Linked DNA regions of Callithrix jacchus. The protein of the gene in region 1 interacts with the protein of each later gene in a pairwise test. Links are inferred from orthologs where the notes say so. Each region holds a gene or a part of one and is shown in the gene's direction. Other genes may lie near its edges. The genes, in order: TAX1BP1, CXXC1, PLEKHN1, GABARAPL2 and MAP1LC3C.

Region 1 (3,510 bases):
CATCTTTTAACCAAAAATTTTGGTGTTGCAAAGAAGCCTTTCGAATTATTTTTACTGGTTGTCATACAAAATGAGAGTCAGTATTTCTAGCTGGAGAGATTCTGGGGGATGCGATGTGTTGTTTGAGCCTCAGTTTGGGCAGGTCCTTAAGCACGGGATGTGTGGCCTGACTCCCTGTACTTTAGCTTCCTCTGTATAAAGCAGTAGCAGTGAAACTGAGTACACAGTATTATAGAGGGAACTAAAACAAAGTTACTTCTTAAGTTTTTTGTAGGCCTACACTCTGTAAGTCATGAGTAGAAAAACCAATATCTAAAATTTTGGCTCTTTTGAAATATGTGTAAAAATTGTTTCTGCTTTTGTTTTTTACTTGAATGGTTGAATTACAAATATATTTATTTGCTTTCTTCAGGAAGATACTTTTTTTTTAAAGGAGCAGCTTCGTAAAGCAGAAGAACAGGTTCAGGCAACTCGGCAAGAAGTTGTCTTTCTGGCTAAGGAACTTAGTGATGCTGTCAATGTCCGAGACAGAACAATGGCAGACCTGCATACTGCACGCTTGGAAAATGAGAACGTGAAAAAGCAGTTAGCTGATGCAGTGGCAGAACTTCAACTAAATGCTATGAAGAAAGATCAGGTAAAGCAAGTTAATTTTGAATTTGCATTTTAATTTTAAAAACCACTGTAATCTCACAAAAGAGTAAATTAAAATAAGTCAGATTTCTTATCAGAATTTTAAATTTTCATTCCTTTTGTTTAGTTATTGTAACTTCTTGGCTTGCTGTTAATGTATGCTGTAAGAAAAACTTACTTGAGCAAAATTCTTAATAATTGGTGAAAGCTGCCCTATTATTAATTGAATATATTGATGTCAGATATTGCCTTGTTTGGAATTCCTTACTAGCTATATAAAACAGTATTATGGTTAAGAGAATTAACCATTTTTTTCTAGTTTTTTAAATGAACCTTAGTCTTAAGAATGTAAAACTGGACTTAAGAAGACCCTATGTTGTTCTGTAGCCAAAATCCCAAAATAAAGAAAAAAGTGGCCAGGGCAGTGGCTCACACCTATAATCTCAGCACTTTGGGAGGCAGAGATGGGAAGATGGCTTGAGCTTAAGAGTTCAAGACCAGCCCGGGCAACATAGTGAGACCCCATCTCTACAAAAAAATTTTAAAAATTTGCCAGATATAGTGATGTGTACCTGTAGTCCTAGCTACTCAGGAGGCTGAAGCAAGAGGATTGCTTGAGCTTGGAGGTCAAGGCTGCAGTGAGCCATAATTGGGCCACTGTGTTTCAGCCTGGGTCATAGAGTAAGACCCTGTCTTAAAAAGAAGAAAAAAGGTAAGAATGAAGTTGGGGTTACTATTAACATTAGGAGGAGGTGTCAGATTTTAATTTTTTTCTTAGAATGTTTGTTTCTTTCTTAGGACAAGACTGATACACTGGAACATGAACTAAGAAGAGAAGTTGAAGATCTGAAACTCCGTCTTCAGATGGCTGCAGATCATTATAAAGAAAAATTTAAGGAATGCCAAAGACTCCAAAAACAAATAAACAAACTTTCAGATCAATCAGTAAGTATCATTAAATTTACACATAGTAAAATATTTTGTTAATATTTTTGTTTGAAAATCAAATTTATAATATTCTAAATGTCAATCTTTTAAATATAATTTATCTCTGCTTGATTTCAAGTCATTGGCATAATATTGTAATAATTCTTCTTTAAAAAAAAATCTGGAATTTTAATTTACTGGACAGCCAACAAAGGAAACAAGGGCAGGAGAGAGCGAGTCCTTTTTTCTAGATCATTTCCCTTTTAAATTCTTGATGAATATCTTTGTCACTTAAAACTCAACACATATTATTGACTCTTGTGACAATGACATTTATTCTCACTGGAGTTCACCATTAATCATCCCTAGGGTCTTAGATGGTTTCTCAGTTGTCATTGGCAAGTTCTTTCTAGTCATGTCTTTAGGAAGAAGTAAAGAGTATTAGTTAATTCTTTTGTATTCCATTTGAGAATAGGTAGGTAGATTTTTAATATGGCAAAGAAAATTCTTTTGTTTTGAGATATGTATGTTTCAATGTGGATCCTTAAATTGTACTTAAATACAGGCTTGCTATCTGAGGAACTCCTGGAAATGTAGAAGGAACATATTTAAAACTTGAAGTTGAAAGTGGTACTATAGCTCTCTTTTACTATATGATGCATGTGATACTTTCCTGGTCTTACTTATCAGAGGTGACAAAGAAACAAGGAATACATGTAGTAAAGTAGGAAGGCTTTTGTGAAAAAATACGGTACTTTAAGTAAGACTCACTCACATCTATAAATTTGGCTTGGGGCTTTTTGAGCACATTATAACTTTTAGTAGATTTCTTTGAATGACTTATTTTGGTGGTGTTTTGATGAGTTTATAAGAAAAAGCAAAATATATTTATTTTTCAACATTTCAGGAAAATGATGTGTATAATGTTAGTCTTTGTTGGCTTTTAAAACAAGAGCAGCCTTGTAGACTTCTTAGGATTTTCTAAAGTAATATGTAAAAATAATATTTACATAGTTACTGCAAGAAGGAAATATAACTAATTCATTGAATCATTTTAACAACTTATTAATGTTTTGAATAGGCTAATAATAATAATGTCTTCACAAAGAAAATGGGGAGTCAGCAGAAAGTAAATGATGCTTCAGTAAACACAGACCCAGCCACTTCTGCCTCTACTGTAGATGTAAAGCCATCATCACCTTCTGCAGGTAAAAATCATTTAGACTTTTTGTGTAGGATGTCCTATATTGAAAAGTACTTATACTGCTTTCTTTCATGTGTAAGAATTTCAGGATGTTCATAAAAATCCTCATGGGATGAGTGAGGAAATTGAGGCAAAGGGAAAATAAGGGCATAAATGTAAAATAGAGTCATGCATGTGGTGAATGTACAAAACTTTCATATATAAAATACGAATGTAAACTAGTAGTTATCTTCTTGAGATTATTCACACATGTTAAAAATGAGCTGGTGCTTGTGAATACTCATTTGGGCTACATAGGACAAAAGCCACGAATTGAATATTTACTTTATATTTCATTAAATCTATGGAATTGTGAAGCATTTTATTTGTGGCATTTTAATTTTTAAATTCTGCAGGGGAAAAAAATCCCCTGTTCTCATGTTTTTCTGTTTATTAATTTTTGGCTGCTTTGTATCAATAGGGTACTTCTTCCCTCGTTAGTGTACCTGTTGGCTGATGAGTTTTTATTACTTTTTATGAAGTTTTAAATTGTTTTTATTACTTTATTAAGTTATAGAACAGATTAGAGAGACATAGTAAAAACATGAATAGCATGAAAATTTGGATTAACTAGGTTTTCATCTGTCCTGATTTTTTTCACCTTTATGTAAATTTGACAATAATGACATTAAATACTAGAGAAAGTATATTTTCTTGTTTAGTGTGTAGAGTAATTGATGTTTTAAGTCTTTTTAAATGTAAACATC
Region 2 (4,054 bases), on another chromosome or scaffold:
AACTGCAATTCAGGAGACCCAGATTCAGCTCAAAGTCAGATTGTGCTCCAAAGAGAGAAATGGGAGTAGGAGTTTTAAAGAAAAATAAAAAGGAAATTAAGGATGATTACACAAATTCTTTTAAAGGAATTATTATTGCTGGAGGCAGCTGGCCAGCATGAGTCTATAGTTCATTGGTTTTGTTCAGGAGACGCAGCACTGGTGAAATATAGCTGGTTTCCAGGACCGTGTGGTCGTTGTAGTTTGGACCAATTCAAAGGTTCGAGGCAAATTCCTGTTGTGTTTTAGTTTTGGTTTGTTTTCCTTTTTGCAAGTTTGCGGGGAGTCCTTAGAATGGCTTCCAGGCTCCATTTTACAGCTCTTAACCAGAGTGACATCGTTTTGTATATCATATTTCACAAGAGATAATCAGGAATGAGCATACCGATCTATGTTTAAGAATGTTCATTGCAACTTTATTTACAATAACATTTGAAAATGTTCTAAATGCTAAGCAACAAAGAAATGGGTAAGTAAACTGTGCTTAGGCTTATTGTGCAGCTTATAGAACTAAAATAAGATTTGATGTTAGTTTTAGAACTGTTTTTAAATAAAAATAAAATAAATAGAAGCTGAACCGTGCCAGGCCTGGCAGAAGAATGACAAGTGGGAGGAGTGAGATCCGGAAAGAGTGGTGGCAGGTGAAGTCGGAGACGACAGAAGAACTGGTTTCCTCCACCGCGGAAGGTATATAGCCTGTCGACGCCCCATTAACGCATGTGGATAGAGAAAGAGACTGAATGGAGGAATGAATAAGACTTGATCCAGGTAGTGTTTCGGGAGCGGCAGCTTTACCTGTGAATCTCTCTGACAAGCGGCCAGTGTACGTAATCAACCATCAAGATGGCGGCGCCCTTGTGGAATCCGCAATTAGGTCGCCGCCATGTGTCTTCTAGGACCGTACTAATTCGACCCACGTACGGAATCAGATTCCAAGATGACGGCATCTGTGAGGAAGTCACGCAGTAGATGCAGCCATGTTACCTGTACGTCGAGACAGTACCAGCAGCCACCGTACGGACTCTATTGACAAGGTGGCGGCCCCATCGCGAAAGCCAGGATTGAGCGCAGCCATGTTCCCGGCGATGGTATGGATCCGGCCACCATACGGATACGTAATCAAGATGGCGGCGCCTAATGGTTTGCGGCGGAGACGACTCACGGGGCCTGCGCAACAGGAGTACGCTGCCTGGGAGGCGTGACCAGAAGCGGAAGTAGTTGTGGGCGCCTTTGCAACCGCCTGGAACGCCGCTGAGGGGGTCTGTGTAGGTTCGCGGGTCGCGGCCGGGGTCCTGAAGGAGTGCGCCGGGAGCGGAGATATGGTGAGTACCGCGTCTAGTGAGGGATTCGGCGGCGGAGGTCAGTGGGGTTGGCAACCTCGGGGTCTGTCGGCCGACTAGGGGGTCTGTGGTGAGCGATAACCGGAGTCTGGACAGAACGGCGGGAGTCTATGGGCAGAATGATGAGCCATCTGGGAATTCTATGGTGAGCCACGGTGGGGGTCCGTAATAGAAGTTTAGTGGGGACTCCGGGTACCCGGTAGTTCCGTGGGAAACCATGATTGGGGGTTCTTTGGGCAGAGGGATAAGGGGGTTGTGAGGAATCACTTTGGGCGGTCTGTGGTGAGCCGTGCTGAGGAAGAGTCCCTGGCCGGGGATCCGTAGACAGCTGAGACTGGGGGTGCGGGTGCCGGGAGGGTCTGTGAAGTAAACAGGGAGGGATGCGTGGAGAACCGTGATGGGAAGTTCAAGGAGTGAGTTAGGCGGGGTCTGTGAGGCGCCACGATGTTGGGTCTCGATGACCCGCCAGTGAGTGTAGACAGAGGGAGCGGGTGCCTGTGGGTGTGTGATGGGAAGTATGAAGCCGAGTAATGGGATGTCAGGGGAAGGGATGGGAGTCAGTGGGGACTGTGATGGAGAGGTTTTTTGGGGGCCCCGATGGGAAATCTGCAGGCAGAGTGGGGATCCGTGCTGACCATGATGGAGCTGTAATGCTGGGATGAGCCGCCACGGTGGGGGCTGTTTAAAGAGCCGTAATGGGGGTGTCCCGCAGGAGGGTGATGGTTCAGACCCAGAGCCTCCAGATGCTGGGGAGGACAGCAAGTCGGAGAATGGGGAGAATGCGCCCATTTACTGCATCTGTCGCAAACCGGACATCAACTGCTTCATGATGTGAGCCCGGGAGAGGTGGGCGGGACTGACACTGGCAGGGTGGGGTAAGGTCCATTGGCTGTGCCCCTTACATATTCACCACCTGTCCCATCCTCTGCAGCGGGTGTGACAACTGCAATGAGTGGTTCCATGGGGACTGCATCCGGATCACTGAGAAGATGGCCAAGGCCATCCGGGAGTGGTACTGTCGGGAGTGCCGAGGTGAGGGCCATGCATGGACAAGGAAGTCAGGAGGGGCTTCAGAGGCGGTGGGGGAGCCACAGTGGGGGATAATGGGGAGTAGTAATACATGTCTGTGGTGAGCTGGAATGGGGGCTGCATTGTGAGTGGTAATAGAAGACCCCACGGGAAGGGGCAGCTCTGTCGTGTACAGAGGTGAATAGGTAAGTGGGACAGTAAGGGAGAAAAGGGGAATAAAGAGGTTTTGGAACCATTCATGCCCTCCATGCTCACCTTATCCCTACTCTCTGCCCCACAGAGAAGGACCCCAAGCTAGAGATTCGCTATCGGCACAAGAAGTCACGGGAGCGGGATGGCAATGAGCGGGATGGCAGCGAGCCCCGGGATGAGGGTGGAGGGCGCAAGAGGCCTGTCCCGGATCCAGACCTGCAGCGTCGGGCAGGGTCAGGGACAGGGGTTGGGGCCATGCTTGCTCGGGGCTCTGCTTCACCCCACAAATCCTCTCCGCAGCCCTTGGTGGCCACACCCAGCCAGGTGAGTGGCTGTATAAAGTGCGTGGATGTGTAAAGTGGTTCCATGTTGGCCCTGCCTGGGTCGGTGATTTCTTCTCTGGGCCCCCTCCTCCAGCAGCAGCAGCAGCAGCAGCAGCAGATCAAACGGTCAGCCCGCATGTGTGGTGAGTGCGAGGCATGTCGGCGCACTGAGGACTGTGGTCACTGTGATTTCTGTCGGGACATGAAAAAGTTTGGAGGCCCCAACAAGATCCGGCAGAAATGCCGGCTGCGCCAGTGCCAGCTGCGGGCCCGGGTGAGCATGGACAGAGCTGGGTAGGGTCAGGTGTGGGAGAGCTGGTGGGTCCATGCAGGGTTAGTTAAGTCTAGGCATGGGCCAGGTGGGATTGTGCCTGACTAGATAGGTGGAAAGAGGCCTGTCATGTCCAGATGAATGGGGCATGACAAGGTATGCTGGGCTGGCAGAAACCCCACTAACCCTGGGTGGACAGAGTGGGGCCAGGTGTTTCCAGTTGGTCATGCATGTCAGTGAGGATCAGGCAGGGCTGAGCATGTCCTGGTAATGAGGGATAGCGGGGAGGTATGTCTAGGGAGGCAAGGCCAGGCCAGGTGGGTGGGGCTAGGACAAGGCCACACTCCATCCACCTGGGGCTGACCTGGGCCTTCCTCCTGCCGGCACAGGAATCGTACAAGTACTTCCCTTCCTCGGTGAGTCCAGCCCCCCAGGGCAGGGCGGGGCATGTGGGCAGGGCGGTCAGGGCCAGTCCTGAGATTCTGCCCTGCAGCTCTCGCCAGTGACGCCCTCAGAGTCCCTGCCAAGGCCCCGTCGGCCACTGCCCACCCAACAGCAGCCACAGCCGTCACAGAAGTTAGGGCGCATCCGTGAAGATGAGGGGGCAGTGGCGTCATCAGCAGTCAAGGAGCCTCCTGAGGCTACAGCCACGCCTGAGCCACTCTCAGATGAGGACCTACCTCTGGATCCTGACCTGTATCAGGATTTCTGTGCAGGGGCCTTTGATGACCATGGCCTGGTGAGCAGACAGGCGCATCCCCTGGTGGAAGGGTGGAGGTGACAGAAGCAGAGAGTATCTCTAATGAGGAGACAGAGGGTATGGAAGGCTGATTTGGGACATGAGTAGGTGGTGGGGTTGT
Region 3 (4,104 bases), on another chromosome or scaffold:
GCAACGATGGCAGCTCCAGCCTCAACTCCATCGAGAAGTACAACCCGAGGACCAACAAGTGGGTGGCTGCCTCCTGCATGTTCACCCGGCGCAGCAGCGTGGGCGTCGCGGTGCTGGAGCTGCTCAACTTTCCGCCACCATCCTCGCCCACGCTCTCCGTGTCCTCCACCAGCCTCTGACCCAGCCACTGCCAGAGTCCCGCAGCCTCCCACATGCCTTAAGGGGGCCATGGCCCCCACCAGGGACGCCCTGCACCATCTGTTCGCATCTTCCGACCATTCCTTTTTGTCTGTGTTTAGTTGTTTATTTATTTATTGAGGGCTGAGTGGTGCTGCAGCCGCTCCTTTACACCTTGAGCGTTTAGTCCTCTGTGTCCTCCCACCCACTCGTTGCCCCAGGGCCACCGCCTGCTCAGACCCTGCAGGCCGAGGAGCACGAGGTCCTGGGGCCTTCCAAGCAGCTGCAGACTCAGCTGTTGCACACGGTCCTCACTTGCACATGGGGGTCCTGGGAAGGATGGGAGCAGGGTCCTGTCTGCCACGCCACGTGCTGTCTTCCCTGGGTCTTGTAGTGGGTGCACACGTGCACACGGACCCTACACAGCAATACAAGCCAACTTGAACAATAAACACATTTCCTGGGCTCCTCAGGCCTGAGGCCGAGCATCTCTCTGGCTTGTGGGGCACCTGCACAACTTGGGTCCTGTTGGGGTGGGGGGTGGGGTCTGAATTGCTGCGTGAGCCTCTGAGGGCTGAAAGGTAGAGCTGTGCATGGTGGGGGGGTGGGTTGGGGCCATGGAGTCCTTGTGGCCAGTCCCCAGCTGTGAGTGGGGTTTGCCAGGGCTGGGTCCTGAGGCCGAGGTCTGGGGGTGGGGCCAGGCAGAACAGCGTTGCCCCCGTGTACCCCAACTGTCCTGGCTGCCTAGGGAGCATGTGGCCTTCTGGGTCTCCTTAAACCTTGGGGATCCTTCCTCAGGCCTGTGGTGAGGAGGCCACACAGGAGGAGAGGCTGGGGTGACTCAGGCCTGCCAGGGTGTAGATGGAAATGGGATGTGTGCCCACATGGTTCTTGGGGGCAGCCAGGGTTCGCCAAGCCAAGCACAGGCAAGTGGGGACTCCCTGCACACTGGAGGCCTTGTCTGGGCCAGAGGGGTGCTCGCCCCAAGGCTGGCCTCTCGGTGTGGTGGGCCCAGGGCAGAGACCCGGATGGCTCAGGTAGGGCCAGGCCCCTTCCAGAAAGGCTCCACCCTGGCCCAGCCCTCAGTGCCAGGTGGGACGTCCCACAGCCCCGCCTGCCCCAGGGAGGCGGCAGCAGAAGGCTGTGGAAGGGGACCCAGACCTGCCAACCTGTGACTCGGCCATGGGGAACAGCCACTGCGTCCCGCAGGCCCCCAGAAGGCTCCGGGCCTCCTTCTCCAGGAAGCCCTCGCTGAAGGGAAACAGGTGAGGGGCATGGGCGCGGCCACCTGGGCGCGGGGCTCCTCCGCCTGCTCCGGGTCCAGCCCGTGAGCCCTTCCCTCGTCCCCAGAGAGGACAGTGCGCGGAAGCCGGCCATTCTGCTGGGCCCCGAGGCCGCTGGGAGCGGGGACACCGCCGCCGACAAGCTCTTCCACTACATCCCGGGCATGGTGAGCGGCGGGCGGGGAACGGCTCTGCCTGTGCATGTGCGCCGCGCCTCCCTCGGCCCGGCTCGGGGGAGTCAGACCCCCCCAGGTGAGGAGCAGCCCCGCCCCGGGGAGTTCATCCGGCCGAAAGTCTGAGCGGAGAGCGAAACCGAGACGCGGGACTGAGTCAGTCGGAGCGCGCTGGGCGGGGCGGGGCGGGCCGGGCGGGGTACCAGCACGCACATCTCGGCTGTTGCAGTGGGGCTGGGGTCGTGCTGGTAGCGTCCATGGGGAGTAAGAGGCCTCAGAAGAGCAGTGAGCCCTCCGGTCACCTACGCCGGCCTCAGTTTCCCCACCGGCGTCTCGCAGGAAGTTGCTGCTGGCTGGCCGCCTGGTCCACAGCAACTGTGCGCACTGCTCAGGCCTCCTCCCAGCCTGCCAAATCCTCGCAGCAAGGAGGTATTTCCCTGGCCCACACGCGGCCACCTCGCCATGGAAGGAGTGTAAACGGCCCACACCCACCCTGCGGGGCCCGGGGTACTGAGGGTCTTCACAGGATAGAGACACCCAGCCCCTTTGAGACGCGGCCGGTGCTGGGTTGAGGGAACAGGAGGAGGAATCTGGGCTTCAGGGCAGACAGGAATTCCCACTGCAGCCCCCTCGGGCAACCTGGATGGGTGGGCTCTGCTATATGGGCCCCAGGGGGATCTAGGGGGAGGACCTCTGCCCTGCACTGTACAGATCCCTTCCCACCATGGCCCACCAGGCAGGAAGCTTGTGCCGTAGCCTCTCCTGACCCCCCGAGTTTCAGGGCACCCTGCAGATAGGGGCAGGCTTCAGAAACATGCTATCTCAGAGGCGTGGGCAGGGAGCAGAGCCGGGCTGGGTCAGGGGTAGGGGGTCTCTGGCTGCATCTGAGCCACCACACTCTCTCTGTCCAAGCCCAGGATGTGCAGTGTGACCCTGGTAGGGTCCTATGAGGTATGGTGACCCTGGTGGTCCTCCCTTGCCAGGACATGGTAGCCGGAGAGGGAAAAACCTGCTGAATCTCAGAAGATGGGGCTGGGGGAGGAGTTTTGGGTTTGTCCTAGAGCCATTCACCTCCACCCTGTGCCTGGGCTCTGCACCCGTGCTGTGAACTGGCCCTGCCACTGCTCCAGGCTGCGTCCTCCTCAGGGCCCCAAGGCTGAGCTGGGCTGCAGGACCAGCTGTGTGGCCCTTCCTGATTTGTGGCCTGTTTTTCATGGGTGCCAGCCCGGCATCAGTTCCCATGCTGGGTGTGGGCACAGGAGGCCCCACCCAGAGGCAGGAGGCCGGGGAAGCCACGCATCTGTCCCTTCACATTCCTGGGCCTGCTCAGGGGCAGCTAAGCTTGGCCAGGGCACAGCAGCCCTACAGGTAGCCCTTAGCAGCTCCTAGAGGGAGCAGGACACCTACCCACTTGCCCCTGAGCCTGTGGATAGGTCACAAAGCTCTCCAGCCCCAGGTTCAAGCCCATGCCCTTTCCGATCCCTAAGTTGGTGATTCCAGCCTCCATCTGTAGAGGACTGTGTGCCAGGACTGGCTGAATGTGGGTGAATATAGATTCCTCCGTCCCTGTCAGCACCCTGTGGGTGCCCACAGCACATCCCAGGCCCCATCTTAGGCTCTGGGGACACAGCAGTGAACGAGACAGAAACCCCTGTTCTTCTGGTGCTCTCATTCCCACAGCAGACACGTGATGGGACAAATAGAAGATACCGCAAGTGGGGTGGGGTTGGCGCTAAGGAGAAAAATAGAGGGGCCAGGTGCAGAGGCTCGGGAAGGCTGGAATTTTAGGACTTTCAGAAAAGGGCCTCTTAGAACAGGTGAGGTTAGAGCAAAGCTGTAAAGTGGGTAAGGGTTAGGGTGAGGGCTGAGTGGTCCCGAAGAGCTTGGGCCTGAGGTGAGGAGACAGTGAGGCAGAGGCAGCTACGGAGACCCCTTGGGGCACTGCCAAGACCTGGCTGTCACCCGAGTGAAGCTTGGGGAGCGGCCGGCACACGCCCAGGGGATGGATTCCAGAAATCTCCTCATATCTTTCTCTCAGGCTGGGGGCTGGAAATGGCTGGCAGTGGGGACATTTACACTGAGGAAATTGGCAAGCGTTATCAATCAGGTCCTTGGTGTGCGTGTGTGTTTGTAAAACCAGGTGCTAAACATTTACCGGCCAATACTGCAGACACGAGAGAGTTTTAGGTGTTACTTCCCCCACACACCCCCAAATTCTTTTAACCAGTCTTCAGAGGTTGAATAACCACAGCCATATTACACGTCTTAGGAAAGAGTGAAGATACGGTTTAATCCACTGAGTCCACATCTCAATCTCATCTCCACCAGGCAGCTCTGTGTGGGGAAGAGTGTCTGTGTGTGTGTATGTGCGTATGCATGTATGTGAATGTATGTGTGCAAAAATGTTTATGTGTGTGTATGCACATCTGCACATGTATGTTTGCATACATGTGCCCCGTGTATGTGTGTGC
Region 4 (4,160 bases), on another chromosome or scaffold:
TGTAGGAAATGATGAACTAGCATGTTCAAACATACAGGCTTTACAGGTGCATCAGAATCACAAGCATGTGGCAGGGTTCATGTGCCCAAATTAAGTGAATATTCTTGCTACGTGCTCAGCAGCTTATAAACAGATGGTGACCTAGACCAGACTGCCTTGATGACTCTGCTTGGAAGAAAGGCATTACATCACTGGCTGGAGAACCTCAAGGCATATGTCTGGGCAGGTGACACACACAGCTTGGGCTGTGACTGCTAAACCACTCCCACAGCCAAACAAGGAAACCCATCTCATGACCAGCTCTCAGGGGAATTCTCCAAGCCTGACTGTCACCTCTAACTCCTCTGCCAGTTAAGGTTAAAGGGTCTGTGATCAGTTATGTTATACTCTTCAAATGTGCATTTGTTTGTCTGTTTGTTTTTGAGACAGAGTCTTGTTCCCACCCAGGCCATCTTGGCTCACTGCAACCTCCGCTTCCCGGGTTCAAACGATTCTCCAGCCACAGCCTCCCAAGGAGGTGGGACTACAGGTGTGTGCCACCATGCCTGGCTAATTTTTGTATTTTTAGTAGAAATGGGGTTTTACCCTGTTGGCCAGTCTGGTCTCGAACTCCTGACCTCAGGGGATCCTCCTGCCTCGGCTTCCCAAAGTGTTGGGATTACTGGCGGGAGCCACCACGTCCTACCTCGAATGTGCATTTCGTAAATGTTTATTCAAATAGATTCACGAATAAGGGAAGAAAATGGGATTTGTTTAAATTCAATTTCTAGGTCCAAGGCAACCTATTACCGCTGTCCCTAATACTGGACGTCCAGGTTGTCCTCAGTGCTGCTTCCTACACAGTGTCCTCAAACACCACCCCTCCCATACTGTGCCCCCACCCTGTCACCACTCCGAGCAATAACCCCCAAACTGTCAACGCCCAAAACAGCTCCCTTGTCATCGCCAAGCACTAGAGACTCCCCTTAAGTCATTCTTACTCCCAAAGACCGTTCTTGTCACCAATTCCCTATTCAGACCTCCCCTATAAACGCTCTAAGAGCCCTCAACTATCAGCCACACCCCCAAAGAGCCCTCAGAGCCATACACTATCAGCCAGACGCTTCCCGCCACAAACACTCCCGAGACCCCACTCCTGTCACCAGTTCCCCGAACATTTCTTCCTGGGGTCGCCGATATTGCTCACAGACGCCCCCGTAACCAACTTCACCGCCTCCGCAGCCTAGTAGCCCCCAGAAGGAGCCCTCCGTGACTACGTGCGGCCCCGCCCCTTGGCATAGCTTCCTGGCCAGTGGCGCCGGAAGCCCCGCCCCTGACCGGTTGCTAGGCTCCAGCAGCCGGAAGTCCCGCCTGCCGTGTAGTCGCCTCCGTCGCTGCTACCGCCGCCGCCGTTGTTGTTGTGGTCGGTACGCCGAGTTCCACGGCTCCGAGAGCCGGTTCCATCCCCTCCCCGCCGCCGCCATGAAGTGGATGTTCAAGGAGGACCACTCTTTGGGTAAGCACTTGGCCATCGGACCGGCCGCGGGGGGCCGCGGCGGCAGGTGGGCCCCCTCCCCCACTCGGGCGGCCCTGGGCCGGGTGAAGCAGGACGTATGCCGCGCTCCGGGCTCGAGCCGCCAAGGCTCCGGTGCCACGAGCAGCCGTCCCTCGACCCCGCGTCACTCTCCGCGGACCCCCCTGGGAGCTAGGGGACAGGACCGCGGCCGTGGGGACGCCGGAACGAGGGCCTGGGCTGTGCGCAAGGCGCAGGAGGAGGAGGGCCGAGGGCCCGGAACCGACCTGTGGGCAGGCGCGGCCGTCAGCCCTGTTTGTTTCTGCCACAGAACACAGATGCGTGGAGTCCGCGAAGATCCGAGCGAAATATCCTGACCGGGTTCCGGTGAGTGATTGGACTCTCCGCCCCCTCACCTCGCTGTCACCTCTGTCATCTGGGAGCCGTGATAGGCCCTAGGCCATTCAACAGTTGACAAGTTGAGGTTCCATTCCCAGTTGTAGTAGAGGACGGGCCAGACTGCGATGAGGCCGCCCAGGGCCGGGGCGTGAGGGGCTCGGGCTGGTGCTGTTCAGGGTGCCTCAGTGCTGAATCTCCGGATCTAGGCCAGCGAGAGCTGTCTGCAGCCTCGGGGCTCCCTGGCCAATTATGTAAGGAACGATGTTCTAGGACAGGGCAACAGGTCACTGCCACTTTTGGGAACGGTGGTGGAGGGAGACTGTCACTTTGGTCTTGGAAGTGGTACTTGAGTCTCAGGACCTTCACCTTTTACTTGGAGCCTCCATCTTTACCCAAATTCTGGCTCCGTTGCCTCACCTTGACCCTGTCATCCCTGCCTGACCAAAACAATGTGAGAAGCCGCTGAAAACCCTTTTCTGTTATGCTTTCTTCCTAGTCAGTAGTAAATATATTTTTTCCATGTTTGGGGAGATAGTTTTGTAATTCTTGTTAATTTTTAATGGACATTAAGGCCTGTTATTGTAGCTCTTTGCTTGTGAATAATTCCGTTGGGGGAAGGAGGGACGGATTTGAAACTTGTTCAGAGAAGAGCAACAGGCCAAATGAAGAGCTTGGTTCTTGGCTGGCTGAAATTCCAGGCATTCCCATTAGTCCATCTGTTCTTGTCTCCTGTGTTCCTTGGGAACACAGTAGTGTTTCCTGTAGTGTGAAGGGGATCCATTCTGGGGTCCTGGAGTAATGGGCTATGGATGTGGATCCCCACATATTCTTAGGTCTGCCCAGATAAAATGTGGAAAAGCTTAGTAGTAAGGGCTGCATTTTTCTTACATAACTGACCACAGAAAAGCACTTACCGTTTCCCTATAACCCATTTATATCAATTCTTAACCTCCAGAGCATGTGGTTATTAAGCCAAAGACATATTTTCTCCTGCTATGCAGTTTCCCACCCACCTCCTTGCCCACACTCTGTTCCTCAGCTCCTCAGCCTTGAGGCCAGAGCCTGGCTTTAGAAACCCAGTCCTGACCTCTCTTTATTTTCCCAGGTGATTGTGGAAAAGGTCTCAGGCTCTCAGATTGTTGACATTGACAAACGGAAGTACTTGGTTCCATCTGATATCACTGTGGCTCAGTTCATGTGGATCATCAGGAAAAGGATCCAGCTTCCTTCTGAAAAGGCGATCTTCCTGTTTGTGGATAAGACAGTCCCACAGTCCAGGTGAGAGGTGTTTACTAGATGGGTCCTCTGGTGTTAGACATCTGGTTGGCTGCTTAGAGAACTCAAAAACTTTGGAGGTCTGAAAACTCTTGGGGGTTCTGACTAGAAATCTGGATTTTGTGCTCCCTGACATCAGGGGCTCCAGGAAAATAACGGCTGCAATACATAAGGGTGCATTTTAGATTCGGAAAATAGAACAAGGCCTGGACTTCTAAAAAAGGGATGAAACTCAGCCTGAGACCTCCAAGAATCTTTTAAAACATTGAGGACTTATTTAGGCTTAAGCCATAGGTAGAACTGATGCCTGAAATGAGGTTTTCTTCCCTGAAGACAGTCTGGCCACTCTCCTCCACTGGGAACCTGTGGGTTCTGCTGAGGCTTACTCAGTTAATCAAGCGGTTTGCGTGCTCCCAAACTTCGTCAGCTCTCTGCCATTGTAAGAGTCTATAGCTGTCTGATCCTCAAGTCTGACAAAATGACTGCAGCACAGTAAAGGGCTCTGAAGTCTCTTTACAGACTTAAACCTTCCTTGGTAGCACCTGCTTTGACTGTCAGACTATGGTGCTGCCTGGAAGCAGTCTTTGGGAGTGTAACTTGCAGCCCGAATGTAGGCAGGGGCATTAGAATTTCCATTTTCTGTGTATTTGACAGCCCAGCTTTAGTCCCCTCTGGAATGAGGAAAATGGACAGGCTCCGTCTAAGCTCCTGGTCAGTCCTTTCCTGTTACTGAGTGGGTAGTTCTAGGCTCTGATCCAGATTCTGGCCCTCACCTCTCCCCTGAGTGTGAGTTCCTGGCCACATCTTACCTTAGTGACCCAAAGTAGGTTTCATTTACCACCCCCAGAAGTAATACTTCTAAAAGTGAAGGCTTTCAGAAGCCCTGGGAACTAGCCCAATGTTGCCCAGATAGGTTCCTGTTGAAAATCCTTGAAGACTTCCTAAGAGGCCCGTGCCAAATTCCAGACTTTATTTCTGTTAAAGGTGGAAAGCT
Region 5 (4,175 bases), on another chromosome or scaffold:
GTAGAGGGGTTGGAGGTTAAATTGATTATCAGTGGCCAACGGTTTAATCAATCTTGCGGATGTACTAAAACCTCTATAAAAACCCAAAAGGCCTAGGGTTCTGATTTTTGTTATGAGAATATAGGAGAAATGGCATTTGTTCCCTCTATGTATGACTAGAGGCCCATTTTCTTAACTCTAAAAGGGAGATCTTGGGGGCAGTTGTTCTTCCTTCCTTCTTTTATCCCAGAGAAAACTAAATGACAAAATATACCTACCAGAGTGTTGTACTTGGACTTCCTTGTGACAACTCTGGGTTTGTTCGGGTTTTTGCTTGTTCGTTTGTTTGAGATGGAGTTCCATTCTTGTTGCCCAGGCTGAAGTGCAATGGTTGGACCTAAGCTCACTGCAACCTCCACCTCCTGGGTTCAAGTGATTCTCCTGCCTCAGCCTCCCAACTAGCTGGGATTATAGGCTCCTGCCACCACACCTGGATAATTTTTGTATTTTTAGTAGAGACGGGGTTTCAGCATGTTGGCCAGGCTGGTCTCAAACTCCTGACCTCAGGTGATCTACACACCTTGGCCTCCCAAGTGCTGGGATTACAGGCATGAGGCACTGCGCCTGGCCGACAACTATGGGTTTTAATCCAAACTGCATCTGTGTAGCTGTGTGCCCTCGGCCAAATCGTTTCACCTTTTTTTTTTTTTTTTTTTTTTTTTGAGGCAAGTCTTACGCTGTTGCCCAAGCTAGAATGCAGTGGTGCAATCTTGACTAATCACAACCTCCACCTCCCAGGTTCAGGCGATTCTCCTGCCTCAGCCTCCCAAGTAGCTGGGATGACAGGTGCTCACCACCATGCCCAGCTAATTTTTGTATTTTTAGTAGAGACAGAGTTTCACTATGTTGGCCAGACTGGTCTCGAACTCCTGACCTCCTGATCTGCCTGCCTCAGCCTCCCAAAGTGCTGGGATTACAGGTGTGAGCCACTGCGCCCGGCCTCACTTCACCTTTCTTAGTATAGGTTTCCTTCTGTGAAAAGGGCACGGACTGTGGTGAGAATTACACAGCACACTTCAGGCTGAGGTGGATCCATCTTGGACTCCTCTCAAGGTGGTTCTCTACTGAAGTACAGAAACGTCGCCAGCATAAGGCAGTTTTACGTCTCCACGGTCCGCTGCCTAGCCAATGATTTTATTACAAACCCTAATTTCTTTTGCAAAGAAACATCTTGAACTGGTCATGAATAAAGTGGCTTTTCTCTGACCAGCAAGTAGGTGGCGATTCCATTTCCACCAGAACTGACCTCGTGCTGCTCGGGGAGGGGGAGGCGGGTGAGCAGAGGCCTGATGTCACTCAGCTCTACATAAGGGCCCCCTGCAGGCTCCTGCAGGCAGTTTGGAAGCAGCTGGAGGAATGAATTAGGTTCCTGGTTGCAGTACTTTTGTTCTTCTTTTCTTTTCTTTCTTAAAACAGACAAAGCTGTTGAGTGAAATGCCGCCTCCACAGAAAATCCCAAGCGTCAGACCTTTCAAGCAGAGGAAAAGCTTGGGTAAATTTCTTGGGGTACCTTTCTGGGTTACTCGAAAGAGAGGAGAGGATCTGGCTTTCTCTTGATGTTTGCTTATTCTCTTGTGCTTGAAATATTCACAGCAATCAGACAAGAGGAAGTTGCTGGAATCTGGGCAAAGTTCCCAAACAAGATCCCGGTAAGACATCATTGTACTTCCCTTGTGGGGGGCGGGGTTCTGAACCTGTCCTTTGAAAAAACCAAGACCAGCCAACAACTTCCCTCTCTCTGTTCCAAGATCCTAAGACTCAGAGAACTCTGAGTCACATTCTTAAGGACTGACGCTCTTGACAGGTGATAGTGGAGCGCTACCCCAGGGAGAAGTTCCTGCCCCGGCTGGACAAAACCAAGTTCCTGGTCCCGCAGGAGCTGACCATGACCCAGTCCCTCAGCATCATCCGGTAGGTGGCGCAGAGCGTGCCCGGGAGGAAGGTGTCGGGGGTGTGTGGGGGCTCTTCTGTTTCCTTCGTTAGGTGGTTTTATTTTGGGGATGGGGGTATGTCAGGGAAAGAGAGGAAAGAGATTTTTTTGAAGTCATCTTTCAGATTCACTAGTGCCCTGAAAAGATGCTCTTAGAATAATTCTATTTTAAATCCGGGTGCACCGACTCATGCCTGTAATCCCAGCACTTTGGGAGGCTGAGGTTACGAATTCGAAAACAGCCCAGCCAACATGGTGAAACCCTGACTCTACTAGAAATACAAAAATTAGCTGGGTGTGGGGGTGCACGCCTGTAATGCCAGCTGCTCAAGAGGCTGAGGCAGGAGAATCGCTTGAACCTGGGAGGCAGAGGTTGCAGTGAGCTGAGATTGCACCGTTGCACTCCAGCCTGGGCAACAAGAGTAAAACTCCATCTCAAAAAAAAAAAGAAAGAAAGAAAAAATTACTCTATTTTATTTTACACAAAGATGGCTGTATAATTGTCAGTGACCAAACCTTTGGGGTTATTTGGGGAGGAGTTATCTGGGTGTAAAATGAATTGGATTCTAGTTACTCCCATCTCCCACTGCTGCATGGACATAGCCCACCTGAAGGCTCAAAGCTCTAAGATAGGAATGGGTGGGCTGTGCCCGCTTCACCAATTAGAGCACCTGGAGGAAGTGTGCTTAAAGTGAGGCCAAGCCTTCACCTAGGCACCTACGTTTTCACACTGCCATCTGCTCCGGGATAACTGGGCACTCAGATTGCCCTTGGCATTTGAAGCGTGTTCAACTAAATATGGCTGCCTTCCTATCGCCTTGATGTGAACGCAGAAATAACACAGGAAGGAAAGGGCACACTTCAAGGCAGGAGATCCCTTCCAAGTGTCATCCTAGGCTGTTCAACAGTGACATGCCAGGCCGGGCGCAGTGTCTCGAGCCTGTAATCCCAGCACTTTGGGAGGCCAAGGCAGGTGAATCACCTGACATCAGGAGTTCAAGACCAGTCTGGCCAACATGGTGAAACTCCGTATCTTCTAAAAATGCAAAAACTAGCTGAATGTGGTGGCACACGGCTGTAATCCCACCTACTTGGGAGGATAAGACAGGAGAATCGCTTCAACCTGGGTGGTGGAGGTTACAGTGAGCTGAGATCACACCATGGCACTCCAGCATGGGCAACAGAGTGAGTGAAATTCCATCTCAAAAAAAAAGTGAGATGCCAGAGAGACTATGTATCACTTTTGTACCCCTGGGGAAACAGCTTTAATTTCATAGCAAACAGAAGTTATTTACTTAACTTTTTTTTTTTTTTTTTTTTTTGAGATGGCGTCTGGCTCTGCCACCCAGGCTGGAGTGCAGTGGTGTGATCTCCGCTCACTGCAACTTCTGCCTCCTGGGTTCAGACAATTCTCTGCCTCAGCCTCCCAAGTAGCTTACAGGTGCCCACCACCACGCCCGGCTAACTTTTGTATTTTTAGTAGAGACGGGGTTTCACCGTCTTGGCGAAGCTGGACTTGAACTCCTGACCTTGTGATTCCCCCGCCTCAGCCTCCCAAAGTGCTGGGATGACAGGCCTGAGCCACGGCGCCTGTCCAGCGCGCTTAGCAGGTTTGTGTCGTCATCTTTCCCTGCTGTGTTTCCTCGTCGTGTTTTGGCATATTTCATCCATGGAATGACCTCACCCTTTTGACCCAACTACGACTCCTTGTAGTTTCTAAATCTCAGGGAAGAAGGAGGGAGCAATTCCCTCTTCTTGAGCGTCATGATGCTGCAGATCCCTGGGCTGCCTCACAGGTCACCCCCTCACCACCCTCCTGCCCACCCCAGGAGCCGCATGGTCCTGAGAGACACAGAAGCCTTTTACTTGCTGGTGAACAACAAGAACCTGGTCAGCATGAGTGCAACCATGGCAGAGATCTACAGGGACTACAAGGATGAGGACGGCTTCGTGTACAAGACCTACGCCTCCCAGGAGACGTTTGGCTGCCTGGAGTCATCAGCCCCCCTGGGATGGGAGCAGCCTTGAGGACAGACCCTGCAATCCTCTCTAGCCCATGTGGGGAAGAACAGGTGCTCTGACAGACGTATCAGCCGCTGGCAGAAGGGATTGGATTTCTCCTGTATGTATATGGAGGAGTCTGAGAAGCAGGGATGCTGGGAGTGATCAGGTCCAGCTATTGGCAGCAGAGTGGTGGCTCTTCCTA

What was found.
Region 2: the proteins of TAX1BP1 (region 1) and CXXC1 interact in binary tests that used the Homo sapiens proteins (3 or more experiments, as listed by UniProt). The two-hybrid records come from large-scale screens. The link is inferred for Callithrix jacchus from reciprocal best matches to the Homo sapiens genes TAX1BP1 and CXXC1.
Region 3: the proteins of TAX1BP1 (region 1) and PLEKHN1 interact in binary tests that used the Homo sapiens proteins (3 or more experiments, as listed by UniProt). The two-hybrid records come from large-scale screens. The link is inferred for Callithrix jacchus from reciprocal best matches to the Homo sapiens genes TAX1BP1 and PLEKHN1.
Region 4: the proteins of TAX1BP1 (region 1) and GABARAPL2 interact in binary tests that used the Homo sapiens proteins (3 or more experiments, as listed by UniProt). The link is inferred for Callithrix jacchus from reciprocal best matches to the Homo sapiens genes TAX1BP1 and GABARAPL2.
Region 5: the proteins of TAX1BP1 (region 1) and MAP1LC3C interact in binary tests that used the Homo sapiens proteins (3 or more experiments, as listed by UniProt). The link is inferred for Callithrix jacchus from reciprocal best matches to the Homo sapiens genes TAX1BP1 and MAP1LC3C.

Annotation. Positions count from the first base shown.
Region 1 is NC_133512.1:30,310,705-30,314,214, reverse strand, and holds part of TAX1BP1 (tax1-binding protein 1), read left to right. Parts: intron 1-412; coding exon 413-637; intron 638-1,431; coding exon 1,432-1,578; intron 1,579-2,641; coding exon 2,642-2,768; intron 2,769-3,510.
Region 2 is NC_133514.1:93,470,242-93,474,295, reverse strand, and holds the start of CXXC1 (CXXC-type zinc finger protein 1), read left to right. Parts: upstream 1-1,249; 5' UTR 1,250-1,358; coding exon 1,359-1,361; intron 1,362-2,091; coding exon 2,092-2,210; intron 2,211-2,310; coding exon 2,311-2,411; intron 2,412-2,688; coding exon 2,689-2,924; intron 2,925-3,017; coding exon 3,018-3,197; intron 3,198-3,583; coding exon 3,584-3,610; intron 3,611-3,687; coding exon 3,688-3,933; intron 3,934-4,054. UniProt on the Homo sapiens protein: Transcriptional activator that exhibits a unique DNA binding specificity for CpG unmethylated motifs with a preference for CpGG.
Region 3 is NC_133508.1:39,187,078-39,191,181, forward strand, and holds the start of PLEKHN1 (pleckstrin homology domain-containing family N member 1), read left to right. Parts: upstream 1-1,298; 5' UTR 1,299-1,359; coding exon 1,360-1,442; intron 1,443-1,527; coding exon 1,528-1,627; intron 1,628-4,104. Other genes in the region: KLHL17 (kelch-like protein 17), read left to right, coding at 1-325. UniProt on the Homo sapiens protein: Controls the stability of the leptin mRNA harboring an AU-rich element (ARE) in its 3' UTR, in cooperation with the RNA stabilizer ELAVL1.
Region 4 is NC_133521.1:32,971,096-32,975,255, forward strand, and holds the start of GABARAPL2 (gamma-aminobutyric acid receptor-associated protein-like 2), read left to right. Parts: upstream 1-1,352; 5' UTR 1,353-1,461; coding exon 1,462-1,495; intron 1,496-1,823; coding exon 1,824-1,879; intron 1,880-2,996; coding exon 2,997-3,169; intron 3,170-4,160. UniProt on the Homo sapiens protein: Ubiquitin-like modifier involved in intra-Golgi traffic. Modulates intra-Golgi transport through coupling between NSF activity and SNAREs activation. It first stimulates the ATPase activity of NSF which in turn stimulates the association with GOSR1.
Region 5 is NC_133520.1:43,983,852-43,988,026, forward strand, and holds the start of MAP1LC3C (microtubule-associated protein 1 light chain 3 gamma), read left to right. Parts: upstream 1-1,374; 5' UTR 1,375-1,473; coding exon 1,474-1,531; intron 1,532-1,632; coding exon 1,633-1,688; intron 1,689-1,843; coding exon 1,844-1,950; intron 1,951-3,798; coding exon 3,799-3,997; 3' UTR 3,998-4,175.